Oryzias latipes: one gene and its partner. The protein of the gene in region 1 interacts with the protein of each later gene in a pairwise test. Links are inferred from orthologs where the notes say so. Each region holds a gene or a part of one and is shown in the gene's direction. Other genes may lie near its edges.

The links.
Region 2: the proteins of rab2a (region 1) and tbc1d25 interact in binary tests that used the Homo sapiens proteins (3 or more experiments, as listed by UniProt). The link is inferred for Oryzias latipes from reciprocal best matches to the Homo sapiens genes RAB2A and TBC1D25.

What each region holds. Positions count from the first base shown.
Region 1 is NC_019875.2:20,930,675-20,934,426, forward strand, and holds the start of rab2a (ras-related protein Rab-2A), read left to right. Parts: upstream 1-901; 5' UTR 902-1,074; coding exon 1,075-1,120; intron 1,121-3,752.
Region 2 is NC_019865.2:31,334,745-31,338,479, reverse strand, and holds the start of tbc1d25 (TBC1 domain family member 25), read left to right. Parts: upstream 1-884; 5' UTR 885-1,036; coding exon 1,037-1,081; intron 1,082-2,020; coding exon 2,021-2,130; intron 2,131-2,225; coding exon 2,226-2,380; intron 2,381-2,505; coding exon 2,506-2,633; intron 2,634-3,261; coding exon 3,262-3,450; intron 3,451-3,727; coding exon 3,728-3,735. UniProt on the Homo sapiens protein: Acts as a GTPase-activating protein specific for RAB33B. Involved in the regulation of autophagosome maturation, the process in which autophagosomes fuse with endosomes and lysosomes.

The sequences.
Region 1 (3,752 bases):
CAACAAAAAAAAAGCATATCAAGGTTCTGGAGTAGTCTATCCAGCCTCTGGATCTCAATCCAAAATAGAGAATCTGTGGAGGGAATTTAAACAGCAACAGCCCCAAAACATCACAGCTCTTGAGAAGATCTGTAAGGAAGAACGGACCAAAATAGCCGCTACAGTGCAAGCCTGTTGAATATTTCCAGGAAATACTTTGTCATTGAGGGTTTACAAATACTGAGGGGACATTTCTTTTCGACCAAATACTTGTTTTATAGATTTTATCTTCACCCTGTATAGACCCAAGCACGTTTTTTTTCTCCTTATAATTGCGTGGAGTCATGTTTTTTTCCTTTTTTTTTTTACATAGATGTTTTAGTCTGTTATTTGTAAGTATCTTTTTCTTCTTTTTATTGTATTTTTTTCTTTTTTAGTTTTTCTGAGCCACACAGGCACTACGTTTTCTGTTTGGTCCTTGTTTTCCCTTTTCTCTAAATACACAGCCTACAATTGTGGATTAAACTAACTGACCAAAGCTGGGTGTTGCTCATTCTTTTGTGCTTTCAGGACTTTCACATTACTAAAGTAAATACTATTATGAGTAGTCATTGTTATACCCTAAATTGATAATATAAGTTAATTGCAGTTTGTTGTACATTGTTCATTTTACATCATGTTTTACCTCTGCAGGTTTTAATGAAAGTATTAATGCTATTCAGGACTCGTGTACAAATCTGTTGTAAAATTACTTATGAAGAACAGTAGCATTAATCTTTAATGTGAAAAAAAGGTTGAAGGAAACTTTCACAAAACTTATCACGGGCATTTTAATAATATATTAACAAAACGAGATATAAAAAAATCACAAACACGAACACACACGACAAAACTCCTGAGCATGCCTTGAACGCATCATTGTGTAGCGTGGCGAGGGCGGAGCGTATGACGTCGAGCTGAAGCTCGAGCTGTTTATTGTTCCTTCCTGAGCACCGACAGAGAAAAACAAGCTGTCAGCTACTCATTTGATACGGTTCACGGCCCGTTTTACTAAGGTGTAACGGTTAAGAAAGCTGACTGTACAAAGCAGGTGCTATGGCGTACGCGTACCTCTTCAAATACATCATCATCGGAGACACAGGTAAGTAGCATCAAGTGCCAGCTAGACTCAGCGGTAGGCTATCTTTCAGTTAGCGGCTATTTCCGCAGTGTTGGATAGTCCAATGACGTGGTAAAAGCAGAGACGCAAGGGGTGGGATGACAGCTCCGATTTTCTCCCCCGTTTAATACATCCGAACCAAAACCAAAAAGAGAAATAAGAAAAATAAAAACGGTCGTTCCGTAACTAGCTCCCCCCCTCACCCCGGTGCCGTAGTAGCTGTTGACACCGGCAGACGTTGGGCCTTTTGTCTGCTTGCGTCGAGGGTGGGGGTGTTAGCCGCTAACTAGCATGCTAACTGGCTACACCTCTAGAAAAGATTACAAACAGCTGTCACGACAGCAAGTTAGCCTGTTTTTTCGTGTCAGTATACATAAAAATAAGTCGTAGCATTCAATTATTTTTGTTTCTGAAACATTATCTTTACTAGTTTTGGAATAATTTAAACTTAATATTAGACAGGGCCATGATAGCGTGAAGCTAAAGCTCGTAATAATTTTTCAAATGGCGTAGACAGAGCTTGTTGACTCTTAGTTTGACCACATCTATTTTCGCGGTTCACATGTCCCCACTATACTCGATTTCTGCTTTCTATTGGTAAACGTATTTATGGTTTGGTTACACAAATGTCTTCGAGTGTTATCCGCTTATTTTTTTGACAGATTGTATTGATGATGATGGGCCTGTTCAAATACACGAGCAGCAGGTGCATATGAAGAAGAACTGCTGTGACAAGAAAATCTAGAATCTTTAGTTTGACATAAGCAGATTCTCAGGAATGTGATGGGGACGTCTGATCTTTAATGGCTCAATCGGATAGAAATACCACGTTGGCTGAATGAAAATTAGACAGCAATTGAAGGTAAACACACCGAAAAATAAAACTTTAAAATCATAAACTAGCTCCAAACATTGTAGAAAAGATCCTTTCTTCTCTCTTCTGGACTACATGGTTCTTGCAGAAGAGGTTCATGTTTTTATTTGTTAATTTAAGAGGTTCATGTTTAGCTCGTTATCATTTATTCCTAGTTATCAAAGCTGTTTACAGCTCTGGCTAATATACCAGCTCAATTCGGAGGGTATTTTCAGAAAAACAGACCACACAGCTCACATCAGCGGGGCTAAGAGTCATCAAAATCTTGAAATGATAACCACAATATGTGAGTGTAAATTCTCCAGAACTCTCAGTTCTAGATTTCATAATGAAGATCCAGCGTAGAAAACTTGAACTGCAACTTTGTATATCCATTTTGGTTTAAACAGGTAATTTAAGGTTAATGGTTACCTTCTGGTGAAGGATTTTTACTTTACTGGGTCTTTAAAATTGTATAATTATTGCTTGGAGGAACATAAAACTGCAGTTCCAACTGCAGATTGTAATAATGAATCAAATCATGTGGTTTTAATAAAAATAACAGTAATTGCGTCATCAACAAAGGGGTTACTAGCTTGAAAAAAATTCCTTTTGCTCAGGTCATCAGCAGTAATTGGGTAAAACATTCTCTGTCTGAATTCACTCACTTCTCCCTCTTAAAAGACTATCCAGTGTCATTGATTTCACTTTTCACTTCAGTTTGGACCCATGATCACTACTTTTTGTAGTTTTTTTGTTGTTTTTTTAACTTAAAATATGATCTCACCCGTTTGTCAAAGTAAAAACCTTAAAAAATGTACATTCTACAAAGACTATTTATGAATCTATTGTGTTCTGATCATAAAAACTTAATGATTTATTTAAAAACAATGCATTCATTCAAATGACAAATTGTTCAAATGCAATGTATTGTTACCTGTTTTCGCCTATCCAGTGACCATCATGCACACTAGTTTTTTTGCAGAGGTTTCTTGGAAATTTCCAAGCCACTGGATTTTGGAATCATAGATTCATAGTGAGTAGTGTGTGAATTCTGACACTTTTTACTTTATTATAGATGGTAAAGTGACGAAAATATTGACGTTAATATACAGTGAAAAAAAATCATCACAATTGAAAATTTGAAATGTATCAGCATTGACAGAAGGAACATCGTCTTGGTAGTTTGGGGTAAAGTATTTTGATTTTACACATTCCTTTTTTAATGATAATTATAAATTGTTATTGGTATCACTTCTTTCTGTGCTGACAGGTAAAGAGACTATTTTTGACATAAATATTAAAGCCATGCTTTTCACTGGGCCACTTGTAATCACCTTTAATGTATCTTGTAAATCACAAACTAATTTCTCTGTGCGGATGCTAATTTGGTTATATGTAATGTGCTGTCCTGCATGCAGACATCCTGAGAAAGAAATCGTTTTCTTTGTACTCCTCGGCTGTATAAACTACACACTGAAGCATATCTTATGGAAATTTATCTGTTTTATGTTCATTTTTGACATCATAAATGAACTTTAAATCATTGGTGTTACAGGTAAATATCAAGGGATAGTGTTTAGGCTCTTGTTAATTTTTCATATCAGAAGTTTGATAAAAATTGTATTTCATTTTTATCCCCACTGAGTCCGTTTTCATTTAATTCCTTAAGAACAGAATTAACCTCATCTTTCATAAGAAAACTATAATTCTGGATAGATATGTTTATGAAATGGGTGTATATTTTAGCTTATATCATAG
Region 2 (3,735 bases), on another chromosome or scaffold:
CGAAACACTCCGAACACACACCGAAGCGTCTGTGTCAAACGGGCCATCCCTACTGTAACTTATAAAACTTAAATTAATTGATTCCATTGGTAACAATTAATTGAGTTAAATTTATTCAACCTAATTTTTTTACGTCTATCCAACTCAACAATTGTTTATACAACTTTAAATATTTATCTAACTAAATGTTATATTACTCCAATTCAGTTAAATGTTTTTCCATCTTAATCATTCTACTTCTTGAACTCTCATATGTCTGAGTTTGAGCCTGCAGATATTGTCCATAATTCTGCAGCAAGGTTTTTAACCAGTACCAGTAAACCGACTCACATAACTACTCTCTTGTCTGCTTTACAGTGGCTGCCTATCAAGTGTCAAATTGATTTTAAAAAGTTACTTGGAGTTTTCAGAGGGTTGTGTGGAAAGCCACATCATACAACTCTGACCTTTTAACCTCCTATTATTATTATTATTAATCTTATTATTATTCATTTTGAATGAATGAATGAATGTTATTATAATTATTGTAATTGTTGTTCTTATTGACTCTGTGTTTAGGTTTGATTTTATGCTGTCTTTTTCGGAAGCCCTTTGTAATTCTTTCTTGGAAAAGTGCTATAGAAATAAAGATATTCTATTCTGTTGTATTCTATTCTATTCTAAATAAATGAAAAACTGTGCCCCCCCTCCCTGATTTGCAAAAATGCAATGTGTTCTTTGTTCATTTTAAATCTTCTTAGTATCTCTAACTGTTTAAATTTGATGTAAAATGTTAAATGACGCCTCCTTTTTTTATTATGGCCATGAAACAAACCCTGAGCGGTCCTTGTTTTTCATTGTGATGCAGGACAGATTGCAGCCTGAAGGGGGCAGTAGAGCGCCGCCGTGCTGCGTTGGCAGTCAGCTCCGGAGAAGAAGAACCCCCGAACTCGGGAACTCGGTTGGTGTCAGCATCGTTATGTTGTGATTGTGGTTTCGATGCGGGAGGAAATCCTAACTCCGAGGATCCGTCCTGTTCGCAAACGGAGCCCCTAAGATGGCAGGCGAGGAGGAGAGGGGGGTGGTTCGAGTCAAAGTCAGGGTAAGCTGCGCGCGCGGCCGGCGCGGGGGACAAACAAAGACCCGCTGCTCCTTTTGTTCATTTTCAGGCTGTTTGTCCCGAAAGCTGCTGGTCGCTGATGATCGATCGGCTGCTCGCGTTGATCGACTCATGCAGTCCTCTTGTTGATCAACCAGCTGTACCTCACAGGAGCGCGCTGACGTCACCCTGGAAAGGCAGGCGCGCTCGTGTTGTTGACGCGGGTGCGGGCTTTAGGCTGGTGGTCAGTCTGTCAGCTTCTCAGGTGTACAGAGTTCCAGCAGGAGCATCGTTTTTATAAACTGATCACGAAATGAATGAATGTTGATACTGTCCATAAAATCCAAGTCTCCTCTAGAGCGGTTGTTGTGCTGAAAGGCATTCTGGGAGTTTTCATTGAAGCTAGAACAAGGGTTTGCCTTTCTTTAACCAATGATATCAACATTTGTTTAAATCCTCCAACGGAAATGTTTTTTTCTGTGTGTTCATGTGGTATTTTCTCATGATGGAAGACATGTATAAAAACATTTAACATTAAATATGCGTTTCTTTATTCTAATCGCTGTCAATCAGGAGCAGAGTGGACCACGAGCTCCCTGCTCTGCTCTATTCTGATCATCCACCGTCAGACAAATAGATCCATATTCGTCTTTGTTTTCCTCTGAGCTGGAATCTGGATCTGAACTGTTCGGATGGATGGATCTGATATTGCTCACCGTTTTCGATGCACCACTTATGTTAGGTTGTTGGTTCGTTTGTGGGAGTTTTGACTGCTGGAACAACAAAAGAGGCAGAGATGGATTTCATTTACTCTGAACCTCCTTTTCCTGCATAGATGAATGCAGGTTGATACTAAGTAAAATGCCTCGGTCAAAAAAAAGAAAGATTCAAACTGCAGATTTAAATGAGACAGAGTGATGAAGTGAGGTTTGATTCTTTCAGAAGTGTGACGGGGCTCTTCCTGTGGAGTTTCGCTCGTTTGCTGTGGATCCTCAGATCACATCTCTGGAGGTCCTGCAGCACATCCTGATCCGGGCCTTCGACCTGAACGGGTTAGAACTGTCCACCTCTCTTCCTGTCAGAGCTTCCCTTAGCGAATGACGATACACTGATGGGCATTTTTCCTTTTTTCCGTGTCTGAAACCAGGAGGCGGAACTTTAACATCAGTTACCTGTGTCGGGATCGCAGCAGTGCTGAAATGTACCTGTCCTTGCTGTCTGACTGGGATCTGGATGTTGCCTTTCTCAGTGCCGCCAAACCGTTTCTGGAGCTCAAGATGGATGTGAAGCCCTCAGAGGACAGTAAGAACAGCGTCCCTTCTTTAATGCAAACAGCTGGCAGTAGAAGCTCCTCCAGCTGTGAGGCAGAGTGGACGTGTGACACGTGCAGAAACCGTTCATGAACATTGTTTTTCATGTCATTGCAGGTCCTGTGATGGAGGACTGGGACATCATAAGCCCCAAAGACGTGATCGGCTCTGAACAGCTTCTAGCAGAGAAAACGAGATCTCTGGCTTCTGCAGCTCTTCCCTTCACACAGTCTCTGCTCTCCCAGGTCCCCCCCCCCCGCCTTTCTTTATTCACAGCGGTTCACAAACGCGTGGACGGGGTGGGAGTGCAATGCCTCACAAAAATCACACTTCAGTTCATGATTTTAGTCACTCTTCAACTTTCAAAATCAGTAAAAAGAGAAAAAAACAGGACAAAATAACAAGGTGAAAGCGTAAATATACACCTATAATATATATATAAAAAACATTTACTCATGTCTTTGAAGTCGATATTCCTTCGTATAAAAAATGTCCACATATACAAAACAAAGTGCCGTATGGCTGCATATTGTGGGGGAAAAAATATATTTATAAAAGTAAGACAAATAAAGAATGCCAGAATTAGACAAATTCTTTCACTACTGCTGTAACCCCCCACCCCACTCACTGGAAACAGACGCAGCAGCCGGGGGGGGGGGGGGGGGGGGGGGGGGCAGCTCATACAATTCTGTTTTTACTGCCAGGATGTTGGTCAGGTTCAGGAGCTGCCTGTGTTTGATTTTTCATTTTCTACAAGTAACTTTAGGACTGGAAACCGAGCAAATGCAGCCTTTCTGTGTTTTCTTCTTGCTATTTAGCAGCCAGCAAATCTTTCAACTCAAAGCGCCGTGATGCTGTTTAACCTGCTTTCAGGTGGGACGCACCCTGTCCAAGGTCCAGCAGGCCTTCGCTTGGTCCTACGGGGAAGAGATCAAGCCTTTCAAGCCCCCCTTAAGTGACTCAGAGTTTCACAGTTACCTGAACGGACAGGGCCAGCTGACCCGGCCAGAGGAGCTCCGGCTGCGGATCTACCACGGGGGTGTGGAGCCCTCTCTGCGCAAGGTTTTCCTTCTGAGCTTTACCTGTCAGCTTTAACTCCTGAACAGAAATGAAGCTTTTTGCCAAGCAGGCGGATGCATCTTGCAGTTATTTCTAAAGCTCTGCCCTCTGTGTGTGGCGTTCTGGTTTAGTGAGAAGCCCCTCTCAGTATTTATGGACAGCTGAACCTCCTCGTAGCTCCGGACCAAACTTCCAGGAAGAAAACCCTGATGCATGTGTCTCTGAGAACACAGCAGCTCCGGTTTCCATCATTGAAGTAATGGCGTCTGTTTGCTGACAGGTGGTTTG